Nothobranchius furzeri: one gene and its partners. The protein of the gene in region 5 binds, or shares a complex with, the protein of the main gene of each other region. Links are inferred from orthologs where the notes say so. Each region holds a gene or a part of one and is shown on either strand. Other genes may lie near its edges. The genes, in order: cwc15, cript, rbm48, gpkow, bud13, snrpf and srrm1.

Region 1 (3,776 bases), about 3.8 Mb from region 5:
AGTGATTCATCACTAAATGAAACAAATCAGCTGTGTTCATGATCTAAACCATGCAGGAAACTTGCTGGAACTAGACTGCAGCGCCAGGTATGTCAGCTCAAGTTCTTCTAAGTTCAACAGATCAGACCAGCAACTGTGAAGCTGCAAGTGGGATATTTTGGCCACAGGGGGCGATAGGGGCTGGGTGGCATTTCATTAACACTGTGAAGGGTTATTTTAGCACATACTGGCTCAAGAAAATTATCTAAAAATATGAACAAGTTACAAAGTATCTTTTAACCCTCGCCACATCCTTGAACTTTTGCAAAACCCATTACCTTTTGCACAAAAAAAGCACTAGGGAGTGGAGGGTTAAATGAAAAGCAACACTCTTCATACCCATTTCTGTGCTGATTTTAGGCACCCCACCCCTAGCATTTTTTATAAAACTTAACTTTTTAAGTTAATTTACCCTTTAAAATTAAAAAATGCACAATCTGTTATTTCTGTGAAATTATGCAAAGTAATTCAAGGGAAAAAAGTCAATGTTTATTCAAATAATGAAAAATGCATGACAGAAATACTGAAATCACATTCTGAAATGTGCTTCAAACTTTCATGATTTACGCAAACAGCAACTGACCTGCAGACAGTACGGTTTCCAATTAGTTAGACTGTAAATAAATGCCAGCTGCAATTAAAATGCTTGAAACTAAAACATTTTCAATTAAAAAAGATCAAATGAAACACACACACAAAGTCCTCTACTTTACATATTTCTCCATAAATTTCTTGTGGAACTCAGAGCGCAGCGTGTCGTTGACAAAACGTTTCTCTTTCCGCGCCTCATCCACTCCTTTGGCGCAGTTTTTGAACACTACGTCATCATCCCACCTAGAAGTACATCAGAATTATTAGTGGTGGTGAAGGAATATATTTGTTTTTCCAAATGCAAACAAACAAAAAACCAACATTCTTGCTGTAACAAGTGAACATAAGAAATACCTTCTCTTGACTCTGAATGTGTTCTGAGTTTGGCTCTGTTGCTGTTGTTGCTGCTGCTGCTGTTGCTGTCCTGCTAAATTTATCAATGGATTTCCACTCAAAATATTTTCCATTCGAATCCTCTCTTCCTCTGCCTTCTGCTCTCTTTCCTAAATAACAAAAGAAAAGCACACGGAGGTTAAGCCATCCTCTATAACATCACTTTTCATTTATAGCCAAAGCAAACACAAACTTAAAACTCTTTACTTTGCGTTCTTGCTCTTCAGCTCGCTCTTTCTTAATTTTTTCAAGTTCAGCCAGCAGGGCTGCAGTGTCGTCATCATCACTTTCTTCATCTGAGTTCTCGTCTTCGTCATCCTGTAATGTAAAAATGGATTAATAACTTTATCCAGTGTAAGTCTGGGATGTATTGCAATGTAAATCCTTACATCAGTGAGAGGGTCATCGGCATCAAGGTTGGCTGCTGGGATCTGATCCAGTCTGGGCCTTTTTGAAGATGATGATGATGAAGAAGATGATGTGGTGTGCTCTGAAGAAATAAAATCAACACAATACAGATTAAAGGAACTATGCCAGAAACCGTTGCATACATCCTTTTTGGATCTAATCTTTATTATGAGTAGAAAAATCCACCTCTTGGTCCCCTCTCTCTGGTCTTCTCACGAGCAGCTACACGCTCCCTCTCCTCCAGCTCTCGGCGAAAATCACGGGCACGCACTTCCTCAGGGGCATCCTGGGTAGGCTGCCTTTTAATTGAGATGAAAGAAACACAGTTTAAGTAGTTCGAATAAATATTTAAGGTTGAGAAACTGGAACCCACTGTTCTGACCTGTATTTGATCTTGGTGTGACCTGGAAGATCCCGACTGGAATACTGCTTAGAAAGAGCACTCAAATCCCCTTCTCCTTTTCCTCTACCCCCTCTCGCCGGCTCAAATGTTGGTCTTGCAGCTGTAGTCATCTTTGATGGCCGTGCTCTGGCAAAACGTAAAGCAGAAAATAACTGACCAATTCATAAATTACAATAAGTAATTTTAGATATACATCATAATAAGTCTAATGTTAATATGAGTTAAAACCTTTAACGATCAGTTTCCTCCTAAATGTTGTTTAAAACACAAGTTAGCTTGATAGCTTCCACCGCTAATCAGTTGCTAACAGGCTAACGTGGGTGACAATGCAATTTAAGGAACATTTCCTATTTTTAAAACCCAATGCAAGATAATTACGAGAGTAAACATGTTTGAAACACAAAGCTTAAAATAAACAACACAATTTAAATACGTTTTTAAAGCAACAACACTTACGAAGCTGCTTCCAAAAGTGAAAAGGAAACGTTCCTGTACACAACGGTGCGTCACTTCCGGAACTAGACGCGTTCAGGAACAATCGGAGAAAAATCGTGCATATTTTGACCGGCATGACAGGACTCCAAGAACCTATTTTACTTGTATTGTTTACGAGGTCGGCTGCGCAGTGGTTAGAGCTGTTGCCTTGGGTTCACTTCCCAGCCTGAGATCTTTCTGCATGGAGTTTGCATGTTCTCCCTGTGCATGCGTGGGTTCTCTCCGGGTACTCCGGCTTCCTCCCACAGTCCTTAGGTGTGTGTGTGTGTGTGTGTGTGTGTGTGTGTGTGTGTGCGTGTGTGTGTGTGTGTGTGTGTGTGTGTGCGTGCATGATTGTTTGTCCTGTGTGTCTCTGTGTTGCCCTGCGATGGACTGGCTTTCTGTCCAGGGTATATCCCGCCTGATTGCCCATTGACCGCTGGAGATAGGCACCAGCCCACCGCAACCCTACGTGGACAAAGCGGGTTCAGACAATGGATGGATGGATGGATGTTTACAAGGTCAATAAAATGTAGTGTTCAAATTAAGAAAACCACAAATCTTGTTTACTACAGTATGATAATTACAGACCAATCTTAGTGCTTCCCCAGTTTTCTAAAGTCCCTGTTGCCCTTTTCAAGCTGGATCTAACCTCCATCTGTCTGCAGATTCCTGCACCCGACTCCTGTTGAAGATCTCAGCTACATTTATGCTGCTCCCTTGTTTTCTCCATTAATTTATTGTTTAAAACCGACCGTAGTCTGTGAACTGATTCTGTAAGTCGTGGGTTAGACACTTACCTCACAACATGACACCATAGTGACTGGTATAATTACGCAATCCTTCGATGAAAGAAGGTCACAGTTTAGTCTTGTATGCGATCATGGTTCAGGTTTGCATTTCATTATTTTCTGACCTCCTGCTATGACATTTTTTTTACCTGAAGCTCATAAATATTCCTGAAAAGTTGAATAAACAGAAATCTTCAGTGCAATGCACCGATATGAAACTTTGGGGCTGATACCAATATCTGATATATCGCTGTTATGGCCGATAACCGATGTTTGCCAATACCGATATACTGACATTAATGCTTCTAAGATCAACAGATTTGTAAAGATTAAAGCTGAATTGACGTTATGTACACACACCACACATGTTTACACTGTTAGATGATTGCAATCACTGTCACATGACTAAACAATTACACATCACCTCCCTCACCCTCTGAAACAGATAAACAAATGAAAACAAGATGGAAAAATTATCAGTTAATATTGGCCCAGTTTAATGTATCGGACCAATACCGATATTAATGCCAATATATTGTGCATCCCTATTTTGAACCCTAACCTACTGACAAAGTTTGTTTGAAAGTTGTCCTCATTCAGATAAATACAAAGATGAAGAGATAAAGTGAAAATATTGCTGACTTCCCTTACCTTTACATATCTGACCTCATAACATG
Region 2 (4,092 bases), on a different chromosome or scaffold from region 5:
GTTTGGCCCAGCACAGTTCACTTCCCAATAGCAGCAACAGCCTTATATCATAACCACATAAGTGGAGAAAATGCTCAGTAGCAATGAGAGAATTTGCTGTTCCATTTAAGTGATGTTAACTATTATTTAACATTTAAACTTATTTTCTGATATTTTTTTATTTATTCAAAAACCCTGGTAAGGGATGTTTTTCTGCATTTGGAGCATCAGAAAAAGTTTTATGGTGGAGGTGATGTTTTAAAGTCACTGAGAAACTGCATGCATGCAGTTTATTGTTTTGCTACTAATACAGTAGCAGGTGCAGCTGCATATTTTTGCAATAAAAATGTTATGTTGTAATGGAATTCATGCATTAGTTTTGTTTGCTTTGAACCCAGAGCAGACGTCACACGCCAGACGACATCAACACTGCATACTTTAGTATTTGTTCATTTATCGTGAGTAATATCGATATCGCAATATTAAACACTGTTATCGAATATCGCAGGTTTTTCTAATATCGTGCAGCCCTATTCCTAATTGTGAGTCTACCTAGGCATCATCATGAAGACATACCAAAGGCAGCAGGTTCAATGGGACACGTAGGCCTTGAAATCATTATAATAAAAAAGAAAACTTCAGCAAACTATAAAGATGATTTGTTTCACTGAGCATCTTCCATGTTTGATGAACCATCTGAAACATGGCCACTCCACTCTTTCATTTCCTGCAACTAAGACAGTTTGCTTCAATGTTCATCAAGATATGCCTTTTTAGATAAAGCCCTGTTTACATTTCATCATTCAGCCTAAATACAGTACAAACACACTGTATTCAAACAAACCTATCGAGAATGGCTCTAGATTATGCAAGTACAGTCTCTGTTGATGTGAGGCTGTAATTTTCTCCGGATTCTGACACTAAGACACACTGAAAAATGAAAACATCTGAGCAGAAAAGTCACAAGTTGAATTGTTCAACAACAGACAAACATTGCAGTTTCACAACTCGTCCCAGTTACTGTCACGTTTTCCTATAGGATGCAGATGGATTTGTCTCAGAGGAAAAGGATAATGTTGTTGGTGACATGATTACATGTGAAAAACTCAGCAGGGTGTTGAATAGAGAGCATGTGTGTGTGTGTTTTATGTAAAAGGGCTAATAGAAATGCTGTAGCGTTTTTGTGACACAAAACTAAATCTTCAGCACAATCACTTCATACCTTTCTTGTAAGCGCAGCCCTGGCAGTAGTGAGATCCAGCCTGATGAACTGAGCTTTTGCAGATCCTGCAGATTGCGAAGCCAGTCTTGCTGTAAGGGTCAAACCTGATGAAAATAATTGTTACACACATGACCAGTTATATCAGCTGACCACTTTGAATTAGTAATATACAACATTGAAAAACAGTAGCTAAACCGTTGTGTGACTTCTTCTGAGGAATAGTTCAGATAAGAGTTCATTATGATGGGCTTTTTAGGAAGATTTAAGAACAAGGTGTCACCTCATATTCTATACAAATCTTACAATCAGACTAAAAACCAAATGAGAGCTACTCCTTTTCTGTTACTAATAAGGTTCACCAGATATTGTCACCTATTCCCTTTAACTTGTATATGGACGATCTAAGTTTTATTTAACTAAGAGAGCATAAGAGTGGATGAATGGGGAAATAATGACCAATCATCTCATGACTGCTGAAGATTTGATGGTCTTTTACTCTTCAGAGCAGGTTTGCAACAGTTACTTAAGAGTGTGTTCCAGCTATGATGTAAAAATCAACTGTTATGATTGCAAGAAATGAAGAAGATCAGGATTTAAACGTGGTTCATAAAGTAAAATACTAAGGACAGATGATTAATGATGATTCATGTGGTGATTTGTGCCAATGCAGCAAAATGTATGCCCAAGCAAATATGGTGGTGAGAAAGTTTTATATGATAAGGTTGAACTTTAGTAAAATAACAGTTTTTGGTTCAATTTCAAGAAGGTAATTTTAAGATAAGTATATTAATGCGTTTAGAATATTTTCTCTGACTTCTCATATTTGTATTTACATTCATTAGATTGTTGTAATTAAAGTTTATTTTTTTCTATAAATTGTTTTTACTCACCTGGCTTTTTTGGATGTCAAAATCTTGTTCTCATTTAGCTTACGTCCTCCACTCTCTGACACAAAGAAAGAAGACAAACTTGTTAAACACGGACATCTAAATGTTACTATACCTATACTAATATAAAAAAAATAAACACCAATTAATTTATATTATGGCGTGATCAACCAAATGAGGACTAAACCTGCTAGTAACGTGAAAAAATATAGAAACAATGATTACATTTTCAAAAGTAACTTGTAAACAAGACAACAAGTCTCATATCTAGAATAATTAACAAACAGCAATTTATCATACTGATGGCAAAAAAACATTTCACTACGCATTCCTCGGGTCACCTGTTGTATTCCGTGCTCCGTCCTTCCAAGTGTCGGGGGTAATTACTTTTCCCAGTTTCTTCTCGCCTAAAATATAAAACAAAACAATTATGGAGGAAAATACAATAAGAACTAAACTATTGGCCTTCTAGTTTGCATTTGAGACTTTCGCTGACAAAAGTAACGTTCATCAGATTTTAAAATGAACAATACGTCTGAAAATCAGAAGCAAATGACATACATACACTTTTCACAGACCATCTTTGCGGTGTGTCGAATGACGCAGTAGAAATGATCGTTTGTTAGCTTTAGCTTGCTTTGCTAATGTAAACGTCCGGTCAGCTGAGGCATTTCAAATGACAGGTTTCATTGGTTGCTTTAACGAGTAACATCTTCTGTGATTGGTTAAAACAATTGAGTTACGCAACGCGAACTATAACTTACTACTTCCCGTTTATTTGCTTATAGGTTCTTCAAAATAAATGTTTGATAAAGTCAAGCACTTTTACCTTATTTAACCCAAGCGTATTCATTAGCAGAGATTGAGTAACAAGTAAAACATACACCTTTTTCACTTGAAATTGAAATAAACTGACCCGATAATCTATGATAATATGTTTCGAAACGGATGTTTTTTCATCATTCACCTAAGATGTCTGTGCGCAGTAGACTTTTACTGTGAAATTAAGCGGACGTTCTTACGTCTTCGTGTTTACGGAAACGCGGAAAAGAAATACATAGACCTGACAGTTTCCCAATGTTACCTTACGTTTTTTAGGTGTTTTATTTGACTTCCCCGCATCGTTATCGGGTTCTTGTTGTAAATAGTTCACGTCTTCATCATGTGGGACCATGAAATTAAAGCTATGGCGTCTACTCACGCGATTATCACCGCCTCGGTGTTCATGGCCACGGTCATCCCCGCGGTGTTTGTCCCGGGCTTCTCAGTGTATGGGACTCACCTGCTGTGGGTCTACGCGGTGTCCGGTACGGTGACCTGTGTCAGCGTCGCTATCTTCTGGCTGCTCGGCATCTCACCGCCCACCAAAAAGCACACACTGGGATACAAGGTGCCAAAACAACTAGATAATGTTTTTAAAGTGAATTGTTGATTATGTTCGACATATAAATGTATTATGTGATATGTGAAGGTATCTTATGAATTTTACAAAATGTATTCGTTTGTTATTATTAATATTATTATTATTTGGACAGGGAAATGGACATCAGTCAACTTGCTTTTTAATTAAATTTAATAGATGTGTGAAAATGAAGGTAAGTTTTGGATATTGTAAGGTGAGGTGATGAAAAAGTAGAAATTGTAAGCGTTTCTTGTTATGATCTATTTTATTTAGGTGTGAAAAAAGTAATTGTCTCTTAACACATTTCATATATTATTTGTTTAATTTTTTGTCCCACTTAAATGGTTCAGATCAAACAAATTTCAACATCAGGCAAAGAGAACTTGAGTAAACTAAACTAAATGCAGTTTTCAAAGGATTATGTCCTTTATGAAGGGAAGAGAGCTAACAAAACCATCCGAGTTTCATTTCATTTTAATTCGGTTCATCCATGATCTAAACGGCTCATCTTTAGCGCTAATCATCATCAGATGAGAGCTAGGGGACATTCTGGACAGGTCTCCAGTCATATAGAAGGACAAACAACCATTCAAACATACACT
Region 3 (4,093 bases), on a different chromosome or scaffold from region 5:
GTTTTTGTAAAAGTCTATTTTGGGCTGTTATTTTTCTTTAATTAGTACTGTTCTAATGTTTTTGTGACCATTTTATTTGTTTGGTGGTAAATTTGCACCCATGTGAAGGATTTCAAGATTTTCCTAATATGCAGAAAGTTTTAGCAGTTAAAATATTGACAGTGTGAGATAAAATAACATGCTCAGGGTTTCCTCTACGATTTTGATAAACCGTGGTGGAGAGACGTGCGGAGACGGTCGCTCTGAGACACGAGCAGTATGCTTTTCGATGAACATTCCTGCAGGTGTGTGTAAAACATCCATCCATCCATTGTCTGAACCCGCTTTGTCCATGTAGGGTCGCGGGGGTGGGGGGTTGGGGGCTGGTGCCACCCTGAACAGAGAGCCAGTCCATCGCAGGTGTGTAAATCAGCTTATTGTTTAATTACAATTAAATAAAAAAAATGTAAAAATATATTTACCTTGAAATAATTTGTATTGCTTGATTCCCACCTTGATTACAGCCATGGGCGGAACTTGATTTCTGTCCATTTTGGGTCCCAGCCAGATTCTCTGTGCTGACTTTTTTCTTCCCTCTTACCGCTTCCCTGCTGCTCTCTCCCTCATCATGCTCACTTATGCATGCTGGTCCTTGTTCTGCCTCTCCACTTGTCTCTCCTTCGCTCACCTCCTGATGGTTGGCGCGCACCAGAGCGGTGTCCTGAGCATGGCGACAGTAACATTCTCAGTGTCTCCACGTATAACACACGATTGTTTATGTCGACTCGTGTCCTTTTTATGCTTCCTGTCTTTTATTTGTGCCCGATGCGTTTTGCTGCTGCGGAGCGAAGCGCATCACCTGTTTTGTCCTCAGGTGACTTCACCACACCGGTGCGCCCTCGCTAATTTAGCGGTCGGTAGATCTTTTTGAACTGCAGTTTAAAGTTTTGTTGCAATAAAATTTATTTTAAACTGTGACTATGGTTAGTACACATGCACAAATATAGACTATATATGTCTCGTTATTGTTTTAATGTATATCCAAAAAAAATGTTTCTGAAGGTACGTTGTTTGAAGTTTTTTTTTTGTTTACTTCTGAAGGTGTGGCAGCTTTTATTTTTCCGTAGTGGCGCGCCACGGCAACATGCACATAGGAAACACAGTATTAGTATTTCTTTAGCTTTCTAAATGTAAATTTGTGCACTCTTTACATAATAGCTGTTTTTTTTAACCTTTTTTATACAGGTTGGTATCATAGCATACAACAGCCGATGAGATAAACAGTTTTCCGAAGCAGTGGGAGCGTCGGTTTTCTTCCAAGACTCCCATCTAGACACCTGTCCAGATCATATCCGACGACGTGGTTTTGTCTTTTTCTCAACAGCTTTGAAACCCGGAGCAGATCCCACCTGAAAAAAAAAAAAAAAAGATTCACATGTTTTAATCCTTCATTAAGGCTGATTTACTTTTTATGAAATTATTAAAGTACTGAATCAACAATGACCTGTTTCATTGTGTTCCTGATCAGGCTGGCAGTTGTGTTCAACGAGTCATCATTCATGTCCAGTTTAGGTGGTTCTGGTAATTTCGGTCCAATCAGGGTCTCGGTTCCTCCAGAAACACTTGCCGACTGCTCGGGAGCCTCTTCCATTCTGCGTTTCCTGATCTCCAAGTGCGAGGACCTTGGGAGAAACCTGAATGCTGAAGCCTGATCTGAGGTCAGTCTGTGTTCTGTGTCGTGGTCTCTCTCTGAGGCTTGGTTAACGCTTAACTTTTCCACTTGGGGCTGTTTCAAGTTTATGATGGCATCATGTAAAGTTCCCATTTTGTCCTCCTGTGCGCTGATCCCATGTGGACTGTTATGTCCAAAGGGATGCTGCTCCCATGGAGGTAATGGGAGAGGAGGGAATTCTGCATGTTGGCTGTGGTTTGAAGCATCCTCTGCACATTCTTTTTTAGAGGTTTGATCGTGTCTGACGTTTATGTCTGATGCAGTCGTCGATGATGCGGAGCCTTCGCTGTGCGCCGCTTTTGCTTTGTAAGAGAAGATTTGTTTTAAAGCATTGAAAAGCAACATTTAAAGGTCAGAACTAAATCAAACATGATGTTAAACGATACCTCTGCTCCGAGCTGCTCTCATAACATAACCCCTCCGGTCCTGTAGCTTTAGCCTGGTGTCTTCTACAGTCTCATACTCTGGGACGTAACACACATGCAGCACACCGCCGTAGAAGCTTTTCTCATCCATGTTGCGTTTGGCTGCTCTGAAACAGAAACATTCGATAACGATTAAGCAGGTATTTCCAGTAAAGTATGAGGAGCGAATAAATCGTACCTGGCGCTGGTTAGCTTCTGGAACTTGATGAGGTAGACTTCTGTAAACTCCTCAGCCGGATACTCGTCCAGAGGTCTGTACTCCTCCACAACACCATACAGGGCACACAGCTGGACCAGCTCCGTCATCACACCGATAGCTGGGACTCCCAGTACCATCAGGAAACGGGACTCTAGGTTAATGGTGTACACCTGGAAATTCACAAGACTAAAGTTACATTTCCTGCGTTCAGTGCAGTATTAGAATGATGTTACCAATTAAGCTAAAGCAAATCTTGTGTGTCTTCTTTACAGAATTTATGAACATTTTAGCTGAAATTAATAACTTCTAAGATTGTCTCACCTTAACCGCTTTAGCTCTTCTTCCTTCTCGATACTTTGGTCGAGAAATGCAAACTTTCTGCTGTTCGTGATGTTTGTGAACGTCAGGAACTTTCCAACAACCGGAGCTGTTGTTTACAGGGACCGCCATGCTTATTCTAAATGCTGTTCCGGTTTAACACTTTCAAAATAAATGCTTTTAGTTCAGTGAATGCGTCTGCACTTCCGGTTTAACACTTTCAAAATAAACGCTTTTAGTTCAGTGAATGCGTCTGCGCTTCCGGTTTAACACTTTCAAAATAAATGCTTTTAGTTCAGTGAATGCGTCTGCACTTCCGGTTTAACACTTTCAAAATAAACGCTTTTAGTTCAGTGAATGCGTCTGCGCTTCCGGTTTAACACTTTCAAAATAAATGCTTACAGTTCAGTGAATACCGTCGCGCTGCCTGTTAGAATACTCTTTTATTTTGAAAGCAAAAGATCAACTACTTTTGCCTGGTGAGGAGTCCATCGTCCACAGAGCACATCGATAAATCCAATTGCTCTCTCTGCCTGGTGTATGCTAAGCTAGCTAGCAATGCGAAAATTATGTTTAGCAACCAGGGAATTCAAGCCGTTCGTGTCGTTTTTAACAACACAAAAAACTGCTTTCTTCACCTCCCTTCCAAGTTGGTAGCGCATCTTTCCTTGAACGAGGTAGGTTAGCTAACTAATTTCATGTTGATTTACTGCTTTTTAGATCATTTCTGTACGTTAAGACTTAGTTTTAATGTATAATGTCTGTGCTAGCATAAACAGATGACAGTTTTTAAACGACTAGCCGGGTTGTCTTATGCTCAGATGAAAGTACTTTTGTTTGAGATTTTATAAACATGCAAAGCAAACAGTTACCTAATCAACGACAGCTGCTGGTTTTTAGGATTTTCAGGTGAATTGCTTCCTTGACATCTATGTTTGCCTTATTTTACTGCATTAGAGACTTAGAGAGACACACTTAGACTACTGTAACTCTCTTTTCACGTGTCTGAGCAGAACCTCCCTGAACCGTCTACAGGTGGTTCAGAACGCCTGTGCTCGGCTTCTGACCAAGTCCTCCAAACGCACCCACATCACCCCGCTTCTCCTCCAGCTTCACTGGCTGCCAGTCAACTTCAGGGTTCATTTCAAGATCCTGGTTCTGGTCTATAGAGCCTTACATGGACAAGCACCATCTTACATTGGTGATCTTCTTAGTCCCTACACCCCCAGCAGGTCCCTGAGGTCCAGTGATCAAAGCCAACTGGTTGTGCAGCACCAGGCTAAAGGTCAAAGGTGACAGATCATTTGCTGGTGTGGCCCCCAGACTGTGGACCTCTCTCCCCCTGAGCCTGAGATCAGTGGACTCAGTGGTCTCCTTTAAAAAGCAGCTGAAAAGTCACCTGTTCAGGCTTTGGTGGGACCTTCACCACCCTCTCCTTGT
Region 4 (4,254 bases), on a different chromosome or scaffold from region 5:
AGTAGCAGACGTTTTGTACTGTCAGGTGTTTTCGTGCCCTCACTGAGGCACCTGTCCAGAAGATTCTATCACAACCTTCCCGTAGCATCCTCAGACAGATAACGAGCTCAGACCGACGGCCTTCCTTCACGTCCGTCAGGAAGTGAAGTTTAAAGATTCGTTTGTTACTGATGAAATTGTCACTGCTGATTTCTTCAACCTGTCAGCTTTTTCTGGATTTAACGTGGTTTTTACAGTTTTCACTGTCAATTACACAACCTAGCCGGTTTTAAGTCAGGCACATCCCCAGGCAGCCCGGCACTGCTGCAGGATTTAATTGTATTTTTATGTTCCTGAATAGCATCTGCTTTAATTAATGCTCTAAAAATTATTTCCACCAAAAATAAGAGTTTGTTTACCAGTTTTGAGCATTTAATACTCGGTCAGTATCCTGATTTGTTTGATTAACTTTAGTGAGACGTCTGGTTTTAACACTGAGCAGTGCACAAGATTAAAATTTAACAGTTAAATTTAGTGTTCAAAAACCGATTCAGCTTCTGAAATTTTGTGCATTTACTGGTGTTACCTGTGACATATTAGCATGAAAATAGGGCGGAAAACATCTAGACATGAAAATCGGCACAGAACATTGGCAACACTAATCGTCCATCAGCTGTCCGTAACCTTTACACGTCGGTATCGGCAACAGAAAAACCATTATCGGTCGAACTTTACTTTTCATGGTTTGCTGCTAACATCACAACCAAACGTCTGTGAGGTGGTACAATCCTTTAACAAGCTGACGAAGATGATGTAAGCATGCCTTTTGATTAGGAATGTGTATTTTTGAAATTCTTGTGATACGATACATATCACGATACAGGGGAGACGATACGATATTTCACGATATATTGCGATACATTCAGTCAGACGTTACAAGCAATTTTTTAACTGAATTTATTGTAAGAATGTTCAATAAACAGTCCAAACTGATACGTAACATGTTTAACATGAGGTATCTGAACCATGATGGAGGGATTTACATTTCAGTGGTGGAAACAAAACCCGCTGCACACTGCTGCCAACTAGCGGGTGCTGATTGAATTGCGCAAAACGAAAATACACAAATGTTTGCATGTAAATTCTTTCAGGAATTAGATACACGGCTTTTGAATATCGATGTAATAATCGCAGGAAAAAATATCACGATATATTGCCACATCGATATTTCCGATACACGGCTTTTGAATATCGATATAATGTTGCTGGGAAAAATATCACGATATATTGCCATATCGATATTTTCTTACATCTCTACTTTTGATGGATATTGGTAGATCCGGGTGTCAGATTGCTGCAGTAGCATGTACACGTGCTTTAAATTAATCATTAAGATAAAGAATAATTTTGCTGTACTTTACTAAACCTTTTAAAGGTTTATTCCATTTGTTTTATAAATCTAAAGGTTCTGGTTTGTTGCATTACTGACTATAACAGATGGCTTGACTTAAGCTGCTCTAACAACAAAATTGTGAATAATTAATTTTTCTATCTTTTCTCATTCGTCTGGTAAACTTTGCATACTCCTAAGTCTCTTACAGCCCGTTCTGTCCCCACTTACAGATTCAGGCCGCAGGTCCACCTTTACATGGTCTCCATCCTCAAAACCCTCAGGGACTTTGTTCTGCATCAACAGAGGGATGGAGAGGTCCAGGCTTCTGTTCGACTCTGCTGCATTCTGCCATTGCTCCAGCTGCCTCCGTGAATCTACAAGCAGAAACACACAACGTCACTGATAAAGATGGTTTTCTTAGTGTTGGGTAGGAAAGTAAAAACTGTCTAATACACACACAAACCGGCCATGGAGCTCGTGCTCTTAATTGTTTTACAGTCTAGCAGGAAGACACTTCCAGGATGGGCTCCGTTTGCGAGGGGGTACACATTTTGACACGCAACCATTCATTGTCCAACTTCTGCATCTTTTTCAACCACAAACCTTCAATGAGTTCTTTGACAGCTTGAGACTCCACCGAGTCTTTGTCTTGGACCGAGCCGCGCGCTGAGCCTCCACTCGGGTCCGCTCGGTCCGGTTTGTGCCAGCGGTTCTTCTGGATCAATGGGATGATGAGCTCTTTGGGCTTCTCGGTTGGCTTTGAACTGCCACGGAAGACAAAAGTTAAATCTTTAAAGTGTCCCGGGTAGATACATTACACACACCACGTAAAAGTGTGGTCAGTCAGATTTAGAGTTCAAACGTCACCACTCCGTTTACAAACCACTGACAGCTTTAGCCTCTAGCTAGCGGTTAGCCTACCTCTGTAACTCATTTCGGTCGATTCCAGTCAGGTAATCCTTCTCGTCGGTCTTGGCTGGAATGCCGCCGGCTGCGGGTTTAAATTTGCTGACAGTTTTTGTGAAACCAAACGATACCGCCGCTGCCTTTTTATCTCCTTGGTTCTCGGCGGCACCTGAACCGTCTCCGTGCGACGCCATGATTGTTTGTGGAAGAAGAACGATGAGGGCGCAGTGCATTCTGGGAGATGGGGTTGCGTTAACGAGCCCGATAACCACTCTAGGCTGCAATTGACTACAGATCCCATCATGCCTCATAATAAGAGTTCTTTAAAGGTCGCAGGCAATCCGAGATTTACTGATTTATTTGTGAAATCCGTTGGTTATTAGTAACTAAATAATATATCAAATCATTTAAAGTAGTTAAACAGACGGTAATTACACTGACACTTGATTTAAAATAGAAAGGTACTGATGTTTAACACTTTCATTGTGAACATGTCTAGACTTGCAGGTCTATTTTTGAAAAGCTGAAACATCGCTCCGTTGAAGCGGTCATCTTGTAAACCCCTATAGTTTATCTGGAGCTTTTTAGTCTCCTGTAATAAAAAGAAACAAGAGCTGAATGAGTTGGATTAATGCGTGGGTCTGACTCCTTTAAATCGCAGATAGTGAAGCGGACTCTGGTGCTGCTGATGCAGGTGTGTTTTAGGCAGAATGTGGGCGGGGCTTTTAACTCCTCCTCCCAGTGCCTCCTGAGCGCCTGAACTTGTGAGGTTAACCTTTTCATTAGCCATGTAGCCTAATGTTGCTGTTTTTTTCTCCGCATTTGCATGTCAGCAGCATGAGCGCAACCTTATTACTATTTCCGCACCTGCTTTTGCGCAACCTCTGAAGTTCAGCGACACCTTTATTTGCTGAACCCGACATTTGTATGATTTTTTGGGGGGTAATTCGGGCTTTTTCTGTATGCATGATGGATAAACGATGAGGCGCAGAGAGTGAACATGGGGGTAAGAAACGCACTGTTCTCTTTGCACAAGTTAAAACCTCCCGTTTGGGTCACAACCATCCACGCCTTCTTGTTTTTTCCTCCTTTCTCCTTTTTGCTCGCAGCAATGTAGCAGCTGCTGAAATTATCTGCGACCGCCGTCAAATCTGCCCGATAGTGTGTGTGTGTGTGTGTGTGTGTTTTATTTTCCTCTCTCTCTCTCTCTCTCCTGCTCTCCCCGCTCTCTCGCTCTCCTCAGCTCCCAGAGCATCACTAGTGTCCAAACATCCCGTCAGCCGTGCGCATCGGCTCTGACTTTCTCCGCTGGCTCCGGCTGATCGCCTTTCATCTCATCTCCTCCAGACTCCAGACTCTTCCTCGCTCCTCCTCCAGCTCCTGCTGTTGCTCCAAACCAAACAGGTCGCGTTATTTATTAAAGTGCTGCTCCTTTTTTAACCTCGGCAGGGTCAATGTATATAGACGCGTTCAAACGGATCCTCTTTGAAAGGCTGAACTGCTTGAAGAGAATGTGTGTGTGTCAGCGGCAAGGCAGGTCAGTATTCAGTCTAAATATGAGAAATCTGAGAATCTGCTTCGTGTGTGTGTGTGTGTGTGTGTGTGTGTGTGTGTGTGTGTGTGTGTGTGTGTTTTGAGAGTTTCTTGATAGCTTTTCTATTTTCTTTATCGGTTTCAATCGCCTTCCTCACAAATTGCCTTAATGAAAACTAAACAGAAGCTCGTGCTCAGTGCACCTGCACCCCCTTTGCCATGAATAATAGACTGATTCAAATACTCTGTGGTTCACAGCCAGGTGTGTGTGCATGCATGTGCATACAGGAGCGTGCACAAGTGCCCTGCAGCCCTCTGTATGTGTGAGAGTGTTTGTTTTGGGTGTGTCCCAGCTCGTTTGGGCAGCTTGTTTTGGAAGTGATGGATTCCTGACCCTGACGGAAATGCTCCGGATCTGGTTGCAGTCAAGGTGATGCTGCTAA
Region 5 (3,974 bases):
GCCGAACCAATCCGCCTGTCGATCTCCCGATCCCTCCTACCCTCACTCGTGAACAAGACCCCGAGATACTTATATAATTATATAATGCATTTCATTAATATGCATTTGTATCAGAAATGGTAATAACATTTAATTTTGGCTGCTAAAAATGTAATGGTGGCATGTCTATTATGTACGGGTTGGCAATAATCCAGTTCAAATTATGTTGAAAGATAGAAGCGTCTGTTAATTATATACTACAACGGCTTGCCATAGCCGTTCCATTCAATTCAAAGATACTTTATTAATCCCAGAGGGAAATTAGAGTTTCAGTACACACAATTCTGAGATCAGACATACATACATAGGCATAGACACATGACAAGAATTGGTGACTGTGGTCATTCGCGACCCGGAGGGTTTACATAAGGATTGGGTCAGGTGGAGGGAAAAAAGGCACTTCAGAGACAGGGAGGGCAGCTTTGCTATGCAAAAAAACACCTCAGACAGAAATGCAACAGACTTCAGACATTACACAACATAAGTGTCCACTAGGTGGGGTGGTAGGGTCTGGGACTCTCCACACATCAGTGCATGCAGCCGCGATAAGCAGCGCTCGTCACCTCCGTTTGGACAGGGGAAGGAGGTATGTGGGTTAGAGGGCACAGTGACTCCTGGAAACGATTCAATGGCCTTCACCGGTCGCAGTCCCACCCAGGGTGGGATAGGGAGACAGAGTTACCATGGCGACTGCAGCATTGTGGCAGTAATGTGACTCGTATCTGCAGCGGTTCTGATCCATAGCGCTGCAGGATGCAGAATAAACAGGATGGTGGGGACTTTTCATCCGCTTGTAGATTTTAGTCTTTCTTAGTTTTACCATCATATATTTTTCTGTGCACCACTTGATCGTGAGACTGCTAACCGTTAGCTTTAGCATTAGCCAATCTGCGTGTAGCTGCACTTTTGATCCCAAACTTTGGACCGGTTCTGCCTTTGCTGGTTCCTGTATTTTCCTCCACTGCATCCAGATGACCACACTGCGCCGGTAAAAAGCATTTTTCTTACACGCAACTAACTTTGTTCAATAAAGTTCTGGGGAAAATAGTAATTCAAAGATGTTGCACCAGTGCTACGTTTAAACATAGACAGACACGCACAGACAGTTCTTTTCGTCACACTGTACAGCTCTGCTCTGATATGGAAGAGCCTGGGGGAAAATCAGGATGTCAATAACACCAACCATAGATATGTAACTAGCGAGAAAAGCAGTTTTTGATCTTCTTTGTCTGCAGTGGTTTTAGTGCTTTTCGGTGCGCCGCTGCTGATACAGCGCCCCTGTAGGGGCGTAACGCTGCAACTGCAGTTAAAATAACACCCATATAGCTGGGGGCAGAGTGAAATCAGGCTGGGGCGGCCGAATTTGAATGCAGGAAAAACCCTGAATATGCTTCAATCAGTGGTGGAGAACAGGATGCTAAAACAAATGCCTGTCCATGAGAGACACAGAAAAAAACGTTTATCACTCACCTTTATATCGGCCCTTTCCTGATTTCCCTGAATGCCCTCTTGAAGGTGACAAGTCTGGAGAGTCGTGGCGACCTCTCCTTGGAGGAGATGTGTCCGGAGAGTCATGTCTTGCTTTTCTGATGGGAGAATTGTGTCTCATGTCTTTTGATGACCTCTCCGGTGAGTCTTGGTGAATTTTGCTAGATTCCAAAGACTCTACACGTTCCCCCGTTGTTTCATCTTCCTCGTTCTCATCAGCTACAGGGAAGACTAGATGATGATTTTCTTAAACAAAGGAACAGATTTTGTTTGTGTTTCACGTTTACCTCCAACTATTTTCCATCTGTTGCTGGTCCTGAAGACTTCCATCTGTTTCACCTCCTCTGGTCGCTCGTCAATGAATTCAGCAATCTTAGTGGGCACACAAATTTATCCATATTGCATTTCCATAACATTTGAGGAAACATCACTCATTAGAACCTTCTAATAAATAAAAGTTTGTGTTTTTTTGTCTCTGTTTATGTCAGAATTCAGCTTTTTTTCCCTCCTGGATTATATGGACAGATTACGCAAAAAGATTTTTTTTCCACAAATTAAATTATTATTTGTTGCAAGAAAAAAAACTATAATTTTGCACTTGTTTAGCCCTGTTTATAGTGCAAAATATCTTCCTCTTGATCTTTTTAAACAAAAATTATTAAAATGGCACAAAAACATTCTAAGTATTTTGACCCACTTGGGATCAAGTTTTAGTGTCTAAAAACTTGTGAATACACTTTCATAAACTCAACCCAATGTATGGAGTCTAAAACTGAACGCCTGTCTTAATATTGCCAGAGATTACTGAAGGGAGAGATTTGCTTTAAAAGCGTTTGAATCGAATTAAGGTCTTTCGAAAAAGCTAACGTTAGCTAGCTGTTTACCACAGGAGCTTCTTCTTCTTCCTCCTCTTCAATCTCCTTCGGTTCTGTGACCATCTGTCTCCAGTCTATATCATCATCTACTATTTTAAGTCTGAAATAAAAGGAAAATAATAAATGTCACCAAGTAACAAAAAAGCGATAACTGACACAGTGACTAGCGAAACAGCTAGCATACAAGTGAAAAGAAACTTTATAGAACTCTCTCACAAACTCACCCTTTTTCAGGAACTTTGCGTCGTTTCTTTTTTATCTTTCCTTTTGATTTACTAGCATCTTCGCTGGCTGACAGATAACGTTTGAGGTACTCAGCTTTAGAAAGCTCAGCTCCTTTACTGACGCCATTGGAGGCAGCCATGTTGACTGTTGTCCGAAACTACGGATAGCGCGGAGGATCAAAAGGGGTAAACCGCTCCACCATCCTTGTTATGGTATATATTTTTCTTTTTAAAAAATACCACAAGAGTCATAATCTGGCTTTTGTTGTAAAACTGAAAATACTCAATTGCTAAACAAGCCGCTTATCTTTTTGATGTAAAAATGGATGAGCTATGGCTTGATTTTCCATCTAATTTTTGCTAATAAATAAAATAAAACAAATAGAAAAATAAAACGAATAATTAACACTGACAAACAGACATTTTTTCCCTCATTTTGGACACAAAAGCATCACATTAACAAGTGTTAATTTTGATAATAGGAGTCTTTCATCAGGGAACCAAATCAGTAATTAAAAAAAATAATACAAATAATAATAAAAAAAAACAAGTGGTCATTTGATTCTTGTTTGGAAATACAAATGATTAAAACAAATACAATTCAATTTTGTGTGATAAAATAAGGATGGCACAGTAAAACAATATTAGATTTTTTATAATGAAAAAAAAGAAGAATTAATGTTTACTTTAATTCTATTTGCAGAAACAAAGACGACATTTGTTATCACCATCACCATTCTGTCAGTGCTGTAGGAGACATGCTTTAGCTCCATTTAGAAACTGACTCTACTCGATAGACACTGAACACGTTATTGTTCCCAGCAGTAACTCAAAAGTAGTGATGATTTAAGATCTTTAGCTTGAGGAACTCAGTGATGTCATCATAATGATTTATTTAGGCCCTGGATCTGTCTATCTCTCTCTCTCTGACACACACACACACACACACGCACGCACGCGCGCGCGCACACACACACACACACACACACACACAATGTACTTTGATGTTTTGCATCTTTTTTATTTGTTCTTATCATATTTTAACAAGTTTTTGTTGCCTCCTTGTTGCACCTTTTTGTATTCATTATTTATTTGCTACCTCATTAATGACTGTAACTTTATCTCGTGGTGTATGGTGGCTCAATCACAACCTCATGTAGCAGCTGCTCTGTAGAAACATTTGTTTAGATCTGTTTTACACACTTAAATAAAAACAGCAAAATGGTCCAATTTTACCCCCAATAAGTTTAATGTACTTTAGTTTTAAGCCATTAAGAATTGTGCAGTTCAAATCACTTTTATATAAAAGTGATTGAATGTCAAAGCTCTCAGACTCATAACCCAGATT
Region 6 (3,982 bases), on a different chromosome or scaffold from region 5:
GTTGTCCCTCGGGGTTGCTGCAGGAGGACGCGGGTATTTATGAGAGGAAAACGAAAGTAAATAAATGTTTTGTGATCAGTATAATTCGACAAAACCACGGCAAACATGCTTTCTCGACAATCCTTGTTATTGTGTGAGAAAATAAAGTGTAGAAATTAAAACGGACGTGTGTTAATAGGGAAACAGCTGGCGAGCCATGATTGCGCATGCGCCGTGAGCGGTTCTGGTTCTGTTTGGGCCGCAGCCACTCGCAGCGCTACTTCAACAGTTATCCTAGTTTTTGTCTGGCTTGCAGGCTCGTAGATTCTCACACCGGGGGAAATTAGCTCAGGTTGTTTACTTATTTTTTGCACAGGCATTTGTTTACTGTGAAGTAAAGTTGAAGTGCTGAAGTTTTGCAAACTGATTTTGAATAAAACTTGAAGAATAACTGGCAATAGCGTACTCATTTTAAGAGGTCTTTCATATTTTATAACATGCTATTTGATATAATGGTTTACAAACACAAAAGGGTCATTTATTAGAGTACTCGATTAATCGATAAAAGATTTGATAGAGTACTCGATTAATCGATAAAAGATTTGATAGAGTACTCGATTACAAAAATATTCGATAGCTGCAGGCCTAATTCCTGCATCTATATTCTTTCCAGTGGAGGTTTATGGATTAGACTTTTAAAAAGCTGTTAGAACTTCATCAACTGCTGTTGAACTGATTTGCATTTCGCTGACAACTGGGTGCATATCCTAGATATTGTTCCCAAATATACATGCAAACATTTGAAAACACACCCTGCTTTGGGAACATTTGTATTTTACTGCTGCTGAAGGATAAATAGGCTGCTTTGTTAATATTAATAAGTAAAATTATAATTACATGAAGTTTCCTTAGACATTTTGGAGCCATGACTTTATTCACTTCAGTCTCTTTAGCAAAAATTCCCTCAAACTGATCAAACAACGCCCCCTGCTGGACACGAAGATAAACACCTTTCAGCAGTCTGACTATGATCTGAAGTTGAACTGATTAAAGAACATCAGTGAGCCCTGGTTCTGCATGTTTTAGTTCCTTACCTGCTCCAACACACCTGATTCAATAGCTTAATTCTTCTGAAGCAGCTCATTATTCGCCTAATGACTCAAATCAGGTGTGTTGAAGCAAAGAAACATAGAAAACAAGCAGGATGATGGGTCTAAAGAGCTGAATTTTCCTGGGGTACAAATTTAATTTTATCATTTATTTTGATTTGGCTTAACCAAATTTATGATAATAAAGAAGTCTGACACAGATAAAACCACACAATAAAATCATCAAGCAGTAGCAAATCCTGAGCAGGTATACAAATAATTAAATGGTTTATTTTTCCATGTGAGAAGATTCTGTGGTTTGGTTGTTAGGAGGAGAAACGGCACCCACCTGCATGTTCATGTATCCATCCACAGACACCAAGTAGCCTTTATACTCCATACCCCACTTCAGCTTCACCATCACAGGTTTTCCCGTCAGGCCGTTCAGGAAAGGCTTCGGGTTCAGAGGTAAACTCTGTAGAAGAAGAACAGAGGTCAGCAAAGCCATTACATCCCACACTACTGAAGAAAATTAAATGCATTTAACGACTACATTTCATGAATTTGTAACGCTGCTGAACAGCAGCGTACCCCCAGCCGTCCGTCCTACAACACAGATACTCCTCACTCCAACATGAAGGAAATCCGGATTCAATTAAACGTTTTTGCGTAGAATCCAAACTTTAAATCTACTGCAAAGTAAATCATTTTTATTGACTTTACTAATGAATTACTTAATGGCCAAACAGCTGTTTAACCAATCTAATTTTATTCATAAAAAACGTTTAATGAATCAGCGCAACTGATCTGTGTAATAAAACAAGCTGTTAAATCCTAATAGTGTTATTTTTCTTTAAATTGCATTATTTTGTTCAATCACTATTAAATTTTAATATGTTCTCCCATAACACAAAGGTTAATCCGGGTCAGGTGGTTTAATAAAAAGGTTTAAATGCTTTACTGCTGTTTTATTTACCTGCAGCGTCAGCCTGACGAAGTTTGCAGCCGCAAACGAAACGTTGCAGGCAAATAAAACCTTTCTGTGTTTTAAAAATAACTAAAAGATGGAATTAGAATTTCAACACAGCAAGCACACACCAAAGATGCTCTTAGCTCATTCTGAGTCGCTTGTTTTAAACCGATCATCTCTCTTAAGGCTAGCTACAGGACACCGTGGACTTAAAGGCCTGAGGAGTTAGCTCACATTATAAAGATTAAATAGCTAAAGGTCGAGAGACATATTATTAATATATATTCATTTCCTTATGGAAGCTTTTGATAAACGATCTTAGCGAAATAGTTTGGACTTTATTTTGCCAGGAAGCGAGGGGATGCTAGCGGTTGATGTAGCCTCTGCGGTCTTTTCTCTTGTTTATTAACAGTGATGAACGAGTAGACGGCTTACAACCCAAAGGGAATAAGAAACCGAAGATTTATAACACCAGTTTTGTGTTAATATGTGTTTGAGGGTGTGAAAGGTCTAGGTCGAAGTTATGAATGAAAAGCTAACATGGCTAACGCTAAACAACAAAAATACACTGAATTAAATCCTGATAGTTCATTCGCAAGACGATAAAGATATACAACGTCTTACTCACCATTTTATATCAAATTAAACAGCTTTAATAAGCTAAATCAAAAAAGTAAAATATGTTCGTCTCGATAACGTTTGCAAACCACGAAGCACGCTTTACCGCCGACCGGAAGTACAACTTTCCGACCTGGGCACGAGTCTCCGTGCTTTAAACAGCGCCTCCCAGTGGCCGGATGAGCGAACTGCTACCCAAGTGATTTAGTGTAAAGCTCCAAAAGTTTCCCCTCTTCCTCTCATTTACAGTCACCCATTGAACAGTAAACTGTGAGCTGATAAACGAAACGTGAATTAAACACCTACAATATGTATGCACGATCTCTGGGGTTGATATGTCAGTTGTTTATAGAGTATCTGCTATATGTTCGTGGCACGATACAGAAATAAAGTCCAGTCCAAAAAGTTGTATCTCCTCTACATTCACAAAAGAAAATGGCAAAAAAAATCAGTTATTAAGTCCAGGAAAAACTAGTAATAATTTTCTTCAAACTCGTTTTCATTCTCAGCAACAAGATCATGTCATCTGCCTTGAGTTGAACTCCTGCTCTATTTATGTCATGCAGGATCAGTGACTGATTGAAAACATATCGGTTTAGGAGCTAAACCTGGCACGACTGTCATAACTGGGTCATGCTTGCTCTCTGCAGCTTTGTTTTTCTCCAGGCACAAGAAGCCCGATGTTTAAAAAATGTTTTCTGCTCTGAAGCGTTTGTCTGTTACCAAAAAGTCAGGCAAGTTCAAACCTGCCATGGTGAATAAAACCGAAATCTGACTTCATTCAGCAAATGGCTGGGTTTTGTCAGAAAAATTCCTATGAAATTGCTCTGGATCTCTCTCTGCATGTTTGAAATACTTGTTTCTTTACATCACTGAGTATTTTCCCGACCTCACCTTTCCAACGTGTAATTAACCCGTCCATCAGACAGTCTGGTCTCAGTTATGGGATGGAGACGGTACGCGAGGTTTAGAGAAGTGGCCAGTCAGAGGGTGCATGAGTTGTATGAGAACTACTGTTGGCATGAGGCGTAATAAAATCTGTTACAGACAGACAGACCGACTGAACCGATAAAGAAAGCATAATATATTTTTCATGTGTTTAAAAACGTATTTAGAGCTGCAAAATGATGAAGAGACACAAATAAATTTGCAGTGTTGCAAAAACTGTAGTCACAAGAAAGTAACTCGTGCAAAGCAACCAAAAACAAAAGGGAAATTATTTATTAATTAAATATGATTTTAAAATAGCAAAATTAGTCTTACGAGGCTATAAAATAAAAAAGATGACATTTTCACCAAATGGTCACAAAGATTAGAAGTTATGAAA
Region 7 (3,517 bases), on a different chromosome or scaffold from region 5:
TTGAAACAACTTCAGACATTTAAAGACGCCTAATATGAGAATCCGGGACTTTTAACTTTACCCCGTAGACACATCAATGTCTAATTTACCCTCGGGTCTAATCTAGTGACTCGTACTTTTAAAAGGTTCGCACCATTTAAACACCGGCGTAGACTTGTCGGAGTTCGCATACAGCTCATAGCGGACTAGCGCCTGTCACAACCCCAGCATGAAAATTAGTTCAGAATGATCAAAATAATACATTTGTTGTTCTTAAACTATATATGTATTTGTTTTTCATAGAGACGCCTCACACTCCCTTCGTGTCTTGCAGCTGGGCCATGCGCCGGCAAACGCGGAAGAGGTGAACCCACAAGCTGTTTACGGAGTTTCTGGAATTCTATGATCATCAAGCACCTTCACGTGAAAATATCAGCAACTGCATGCTAACCAATTCACCATTGGTAGACAAACAACCACATGAATACAAAATTTAAACACGGATCCTAAAAAAGTTTTAATTCTGAAAGGATGACGTGACAGGAACCAGGTTACTAAATACAAACCATACACTATAGCAGTCCCACAGAAATTAGCTCAATACAGGGGTTTTTAACAAAAATTGCATATCAATCAGTTTAGAAAAAAATTAAAACATGTTTCATCCTTAAGATAGATTTAATCTTCAAACAAGACAATTTCAAAGTTGGAGAAAAAAGCAGGTTAAATGATGCCCATCTCTAAAACCGGACGTTTTGTTACAGCCTTGACGGACTCACAGTAGTGACTTGGTTTCCACTAGTAAAAGGCGTTAGTAACAGCAGATTACTTGATGGCGTTCTCACCAGTCAATGGTTCATGCACATCGGAGACAATGCACGTGCTATCATTTCTCTATGGAATCTACTGTACACAGACAAATATACCATTAACCTGCCCTACTCAAACCTCTGAAATGTAACGTTCTTCTTGCTTAACAAATTCAAAATATTAACACAAGTTTCTTTACAGTTTAGATAATAATCTATCCCACAAATCAAGTGAAGGAAAAACTCTCCAGAATGTACCAAACCAATTAAAAAAAAAAACAAGAATCGACAATTTGTACATTCTAAAGCTGAACCAAGTTGATGAGAAACATCAAAATAGGAAAACTCAGAACTTTCTTGTTCTCATGACATTTGTGATGGAGACATCTGGGCCTTCCTCATCGAGCGCAGGGCCTTCTCTCGAAGATGTTTTTCCAGATCGTCCAAGCCGTCGTCGGCGTCACTGTCTGAGTCCTGAATAAAAAGAATGTCAGACCTTTAACTAAAGTTTAGCTGCCTGAATACACACGGATTCGATGTTGGTGTTTAACATGTGGTCCCACCGAAACGATGAAGAGATGAACTAAAACAACAGAACAAACGTTACCTTTCTTGATTCTCCATCCTCCTCCGCACCGCGATTCTCCGCTACGTCTCCCGGAACAGCACCCCCGCTGCTTTTCTCCTTCTTGTGTTTCTTGTGTTTTTTGTGTTTCTTCTCCTTCTTGTGTTTCTTTTCCTTCTTCTTCTTCTTTTTCTTTCCGCCACCTTCAACATCTGATATCTGAAAACAAACATTATTTAAAAACACTTTTAAACTGTTTGTTTTCAAAAAAGAATGTTGTGTCATATTTAAGAGTAAATTCGAACCTTGCTTGGAGACGGGCTGCCTGAAGCACTACTGGGTTTTTTGACTGGAGGAGGTGGGGGAGACCCACTGACTGAGCGAGAAGGAGATGGGGAGGCGGAAGCAGGAGCTGGACCTTTCTGCGGAGCTGGCAGGGGGGAGACTGACCTCGATCTGGATGATGCTCTCCTCATTTGCTTAGGACTTGGTGAAGTTCTGTTAAAGCAATAAAAGTTGTGTAAAGAAAACTTTCAAAAGACTTACGGATTGCGTCGAACCATTCCTTGCATCTCGTTTACCTCTTCCTGTGTGGTTCTGGAGTGCGGGACACCCTGCGAATGAGCTTGCTGCTGCGTGAAGGGGACGGCTGTCGCCTCTGGTTAGATGGAGATGTACTAGAAGAAGCAAAGCGTCCCTGGGGACTCGTGGATCGTCTGACAGCCCGACTGCGGTTTGCAGGTGAGGGGGACAGGCGTCTGGCAGACGCAACAGGGGATCGTGTGTCCCTGCCTGGCCTGGCTGGCATGGGGCTCCTTTTGTGACGGGGTGGAGATGTGGACGAAGGAGGAGAGCGCCGTCTAGGACCAGGAGAGCTTCTGCGTTTAGGAGACCTAGAGAAACGTCGCTTGGAACCTGGAGAGGAGCGTCTCAGGGGTGAGCTAGACAACTTCCTCTTTGCTGGAGGCAAAGGTGAGGGGCTGTAGCGGCGCTGGATGGGAGGAGAGTAACGTCTGGGGGACATAGATCTACGACGTGGTGGCGGTGAAGGAGACCTGGAAAGAAAAAAAGAAAAATTGTTGAAAATCAATACTAATGAAAGTTTTTTTAATCCTACCCAGTAAATCCATATAAAAAGATCATTGTTACTAGCCTGCGTCTAGGAGAGGGAGATCTGCGGCGGCGTGGGGGAGATGGAGAGCGACGTCTACGTCCAGGAGATGGAGAACGTCTTCTTCTGAAGGAATAATAACAAATAAAAACATTTGTTCAAGAACAAATGGAAACATAAAACCTTAACAGACGTCAGATCATCCAGATACTGAGGAGATAAGCGTCTGACCTTGGGGAGGCGTCCCGATGCCGCCTACGAGGTGATGGTGTGCGGCTACGCCTCCTCCTCACTTCACCGTTTCTGGCTCCTGGCCCTGTAGCTGACCTCTTAGGTCCCTCATCCTCTGATGATGAAGATCCTGAATCTGAAACCACATGAAACAAATAAAAACTTTTTAATGGCCTTTTACTGTATGCAGTAAAGGAAAAACACCAAAATCTAGGGTTAGGACGAACGAGGCTGGACACAGACCTGAAGAAGATTGCTGATTCTGCCTGCGATACTGACGTCTCTGCTGCACCGAGTCGGCTGTTGCCCCTTTTTCATTTTTGTCCTCCTCTGAAAAGCAAAGCATCGGTTGTCTGATCAGTGTTCGTACCACTCTACAAAAGCATCATGTAAAAGTGACAACCAATGCTTCTGTCTTACCAATAAGACCCGTTATGCTGTGTTTAAATGTAACGGAAGGAAAGTTTACAAAAGGAAGCATTCTTAAAAAAATCGTTGAGCAGGACTTTAAGCTGTTATTTTTGTGGAAGAGGAAAACATTTTAAAAAACACCTGGAATAATTTAGTCTAAGCGATTAGCTAATCTGGATCAGTAATGACCCTCGGGTGATGGCACCTATTTTATGGAGACTTGCTGTATAAACGAAGTACGATCTGAGCTTCATTAGGCCGAGGATTTGACTTACCAGAGTCAGACCCATCAGAAGCTCGTGCTTTTGCATTAGCAGGTGGAGAATCATCCATTCTTCTTTGTTTTTGCTTTAAACCTAAAACCAAAACATTCAGTTTTAGATGCATTTATTGTAACCAAGTTAATTTAAA

The links.
Region 1: bud13 (region 5) and cwc15 share a complex: the UniProt entries of both Homo sapiens proteins name them as parts of the minor spliceosome. The link is inferred for Nothobranchius furzeri from reciprocal best matches to the Homo sapiens genes BUD13 and CWC15.
Region 2: bud13 (region 5) and cript share a complex: the UniProt entries of both Homo sapiens proteins name them as parts of the minor spliceosome. The link is inferred for Nothobranchius furzeri from reciprocal best matches to the Homo sapiens genes BUD13 and CRIPT.
Region 3: bud13 (region 5) and rbm48 share a complex: the UniProt entries of both Homo sapiens proteins name them as parts of the minor spliceosome. The link is inferred for Nothobranchius furzeri from reciprocal best matches to the Homo sapiens genes BUD13 and RBM48.
Region 4: bud13 (region 5) and gpkow share a complex: the UniProt entries of both Homo sapiens proteins name them as parts of the minor spliceosome. The link is inferred for Nothobranchius furzeri from reciprocal best matches to the Homo sapiens genes BUD13 and GPKOW.
Region 6: bud13 (region 5) and snrpf share a complex: the UniProt entries of both Homo sapiens proteins name them as parts of the minor spliceosome. The link is inferred for Nothobranchius furzeri from reciprocal best matches to the Homo sapiens genes BUD13 and SNRPF.
Region 7: bud13 (region 5) and srrm1 share a complex: the UniProt entries of both Homo sapiens proteins name them as parts of the minor spliceosome. The link is inferred for Nothobranchius furzeri from reciprocal best matches to the Homo sapiens genes BUD13 and SRRM1.

The regions. Positions count from the first base shown.
Region 1 is NC_091750.1:48,553,422-48,557,197, reverse strand, and holds cwc15 (protein CWC15 homolog), read right to left. Parts: upstream 2,442-3,776; 5' UTR 2,291-2,441; intron 2,206-2,290; exon of another isoform or gene 2,063-2,205; intron 1,961-2,062; 5' UTR 1,945-1,960; coding exon 1,814-1,944; intron 1,731-1,813; coding exon 1,618-1,730; intron 1,514-1,617; coding exon 1,413-1,513; intron 1,342-1,412; coding exon 1,231-1,341; intron 1,134-1,230; coding exon 985-1,133; intron 874-984; coding exon 744-873; 3' UTR 507-743; downstream 1-506. UniProt on the Homo sapiens protein: Involved in pre-mRNA splicing as component of the spliceosome. Component of the PRP19-CDC5L complex that forms an integral part of the spliceosome and is required for activating pre-mRNA splicing.
Region 2 is NC_091756.1:43,772,579-43,776,670, forward strand, and holds the start of cript (cysteine-rich PDZ-binding protein), read right to left. Parts: upstream 2,811-4,092; 5' UTR 2,670-2,810; coding exon 2,654-2,669; intron 2,496-2,653; coding exon 2,430-2,495; intron 2,147-2,429; coding exon 2,092-2,146; intron 1,306-2,091; coding exon 1,202-1,305; intron 1-1,201. Other genes in the region: pigf (phosphatidylinositol-glycan biosynthesis class F protein), read left to right, coding at 3,251-3,478. UniProt on the Homo sapiens protein: As a component of the minor spliceosome, involved in the splicing of U12-type introns in pre-mRNAs. Involved in the cytoskeletal anchoring of DLG4 in excitatory synapses.
Region 3 is NC_091759.1:22,195,917-22,200,009, reverse strand, and holds rbm48 (RNA-binding protein 48), read right to left. Parts: upstream 2,801-4,093; 5' UTR 2,786-2,800; coding exon 2,657-2,785; intron 2,506-2,656; coding exon 2,315-2,505; intron 2,244-2,314; coding exon 2,098-2,243; intron 2,014-2,097; coding exon 1,484-2,013; intron 1,389-1,483; coding exon 1,326-1,388; 3' UTR 403-1,325; downstream 1-402. Other genes in the region: peroxisomal ATPase PEX1, read left to right, coding at 3,223-3,330. UniProt on the Homo sapiens protein: As a component of the minor spliceosome, involved in the splicing of U12-type introns in pre-mRNAs.
Region 4 is NC_091755.1:41,971,939-41,976,192, forward strand, and holds the start of gpkow (G-patch domain and KOW motifs-containing protein), read right to left. Parts: upstream 2,801-4,254; 5' UTR 2,590-2,800; coding exon 2,294-2,589; intron 2,137-2,293; coding exon 1,976-2,136; intron 1,747-1,975; coding exon 1,601-1,746; intron 1-1,600. Other genes in the region: membrane-associated guanylate kinase, WW and PDZ domain-containing protein 3, read left to right, coding at 3,733-3,815. UniProt on the Homo sapiens protein: RNA-binding protein involved in pre-mRNA splicing. As a component of the minor spliceosome, involved in the splicing of U12-type introns in pre-mRNAs.
Region 5 is NC_091750.1:44,767,940-44,771,913, forward strand, and holds the start of bud13 (BUD13 homolog), read right to left. Parts: upstream 2,811-3,974; 5' UTR 2,767-2,810; coding exon 2,627-2,766; intron 2,503-2,626; coding exon 2,412-2,502; intron 1,900-2,411; coding exon 1,815-1,899; intron 1,747-1,814; coding exon 1,510-1,746; intron 1-1,509. UniProt on the Homo sapiens protein: Involved in pre-mRNA splicing as component of the activated spliceosome. As a component of the minor spliceosome, involved in the splicing of U12-type introns in pre-mRNAs.
Region 6 is NC_091741.1:34,923,127-34,927,108, forward strand, and holds the start of snrpf (small nuclear ribonucleoprotein F), read right to left. Parts: upstream 2,806-3,982; 5' UTR 2,669-2,805; coding exon 2,666-2,668; intron 1,543-2,665; coding exon 1,417-1,542; intron 1-1,416. UniProt on the Homo sapiens protein: Plays a role in pre-mRNA splicing as a core component of the spliceosomal U1, U2, U4 and U5 small nuclear ribonucleoproteins (snRNPs), the building blocks of the spliceosome.
Region 7 is NC_091758.1:35,720,293-35,723,809, forward strand, and holds the end of srrm1 (serine/arginine repetitive matrix protein 1), read right to left. Parts: intron 3,463-3,517; coding exon 3,382-3,462; intron 3,026-3,381; coding exon 2,939-3,025; intron 2,832-2,938; coding exon 2,696-2,831; intron 2,591-2,695; coding exon 2,507-2,590; intron 2,409-2,506; coding exon 1,935-2,408; intron 1,852-1,934; coding exon 1,659-1,851; intron 1,573-1,658; coding exon 1,396-1,572; intron 1,285-1,395; coding exon of another isoform or gene 1,279-1,284; exon of another isoform or gene 1,263-1,278; coding exon 1,152-1,262; 3' UTR 472-1,151; downstream 1-471. UniProt on the Homo sapiens protein: Part of pre- and post-splicing multiprotein mRNP complexes. As a component of the minor spliceosome, involved in the splicing of U12-type introns in pre-mRNAs. Involved in numerous pre-mRNA processing events.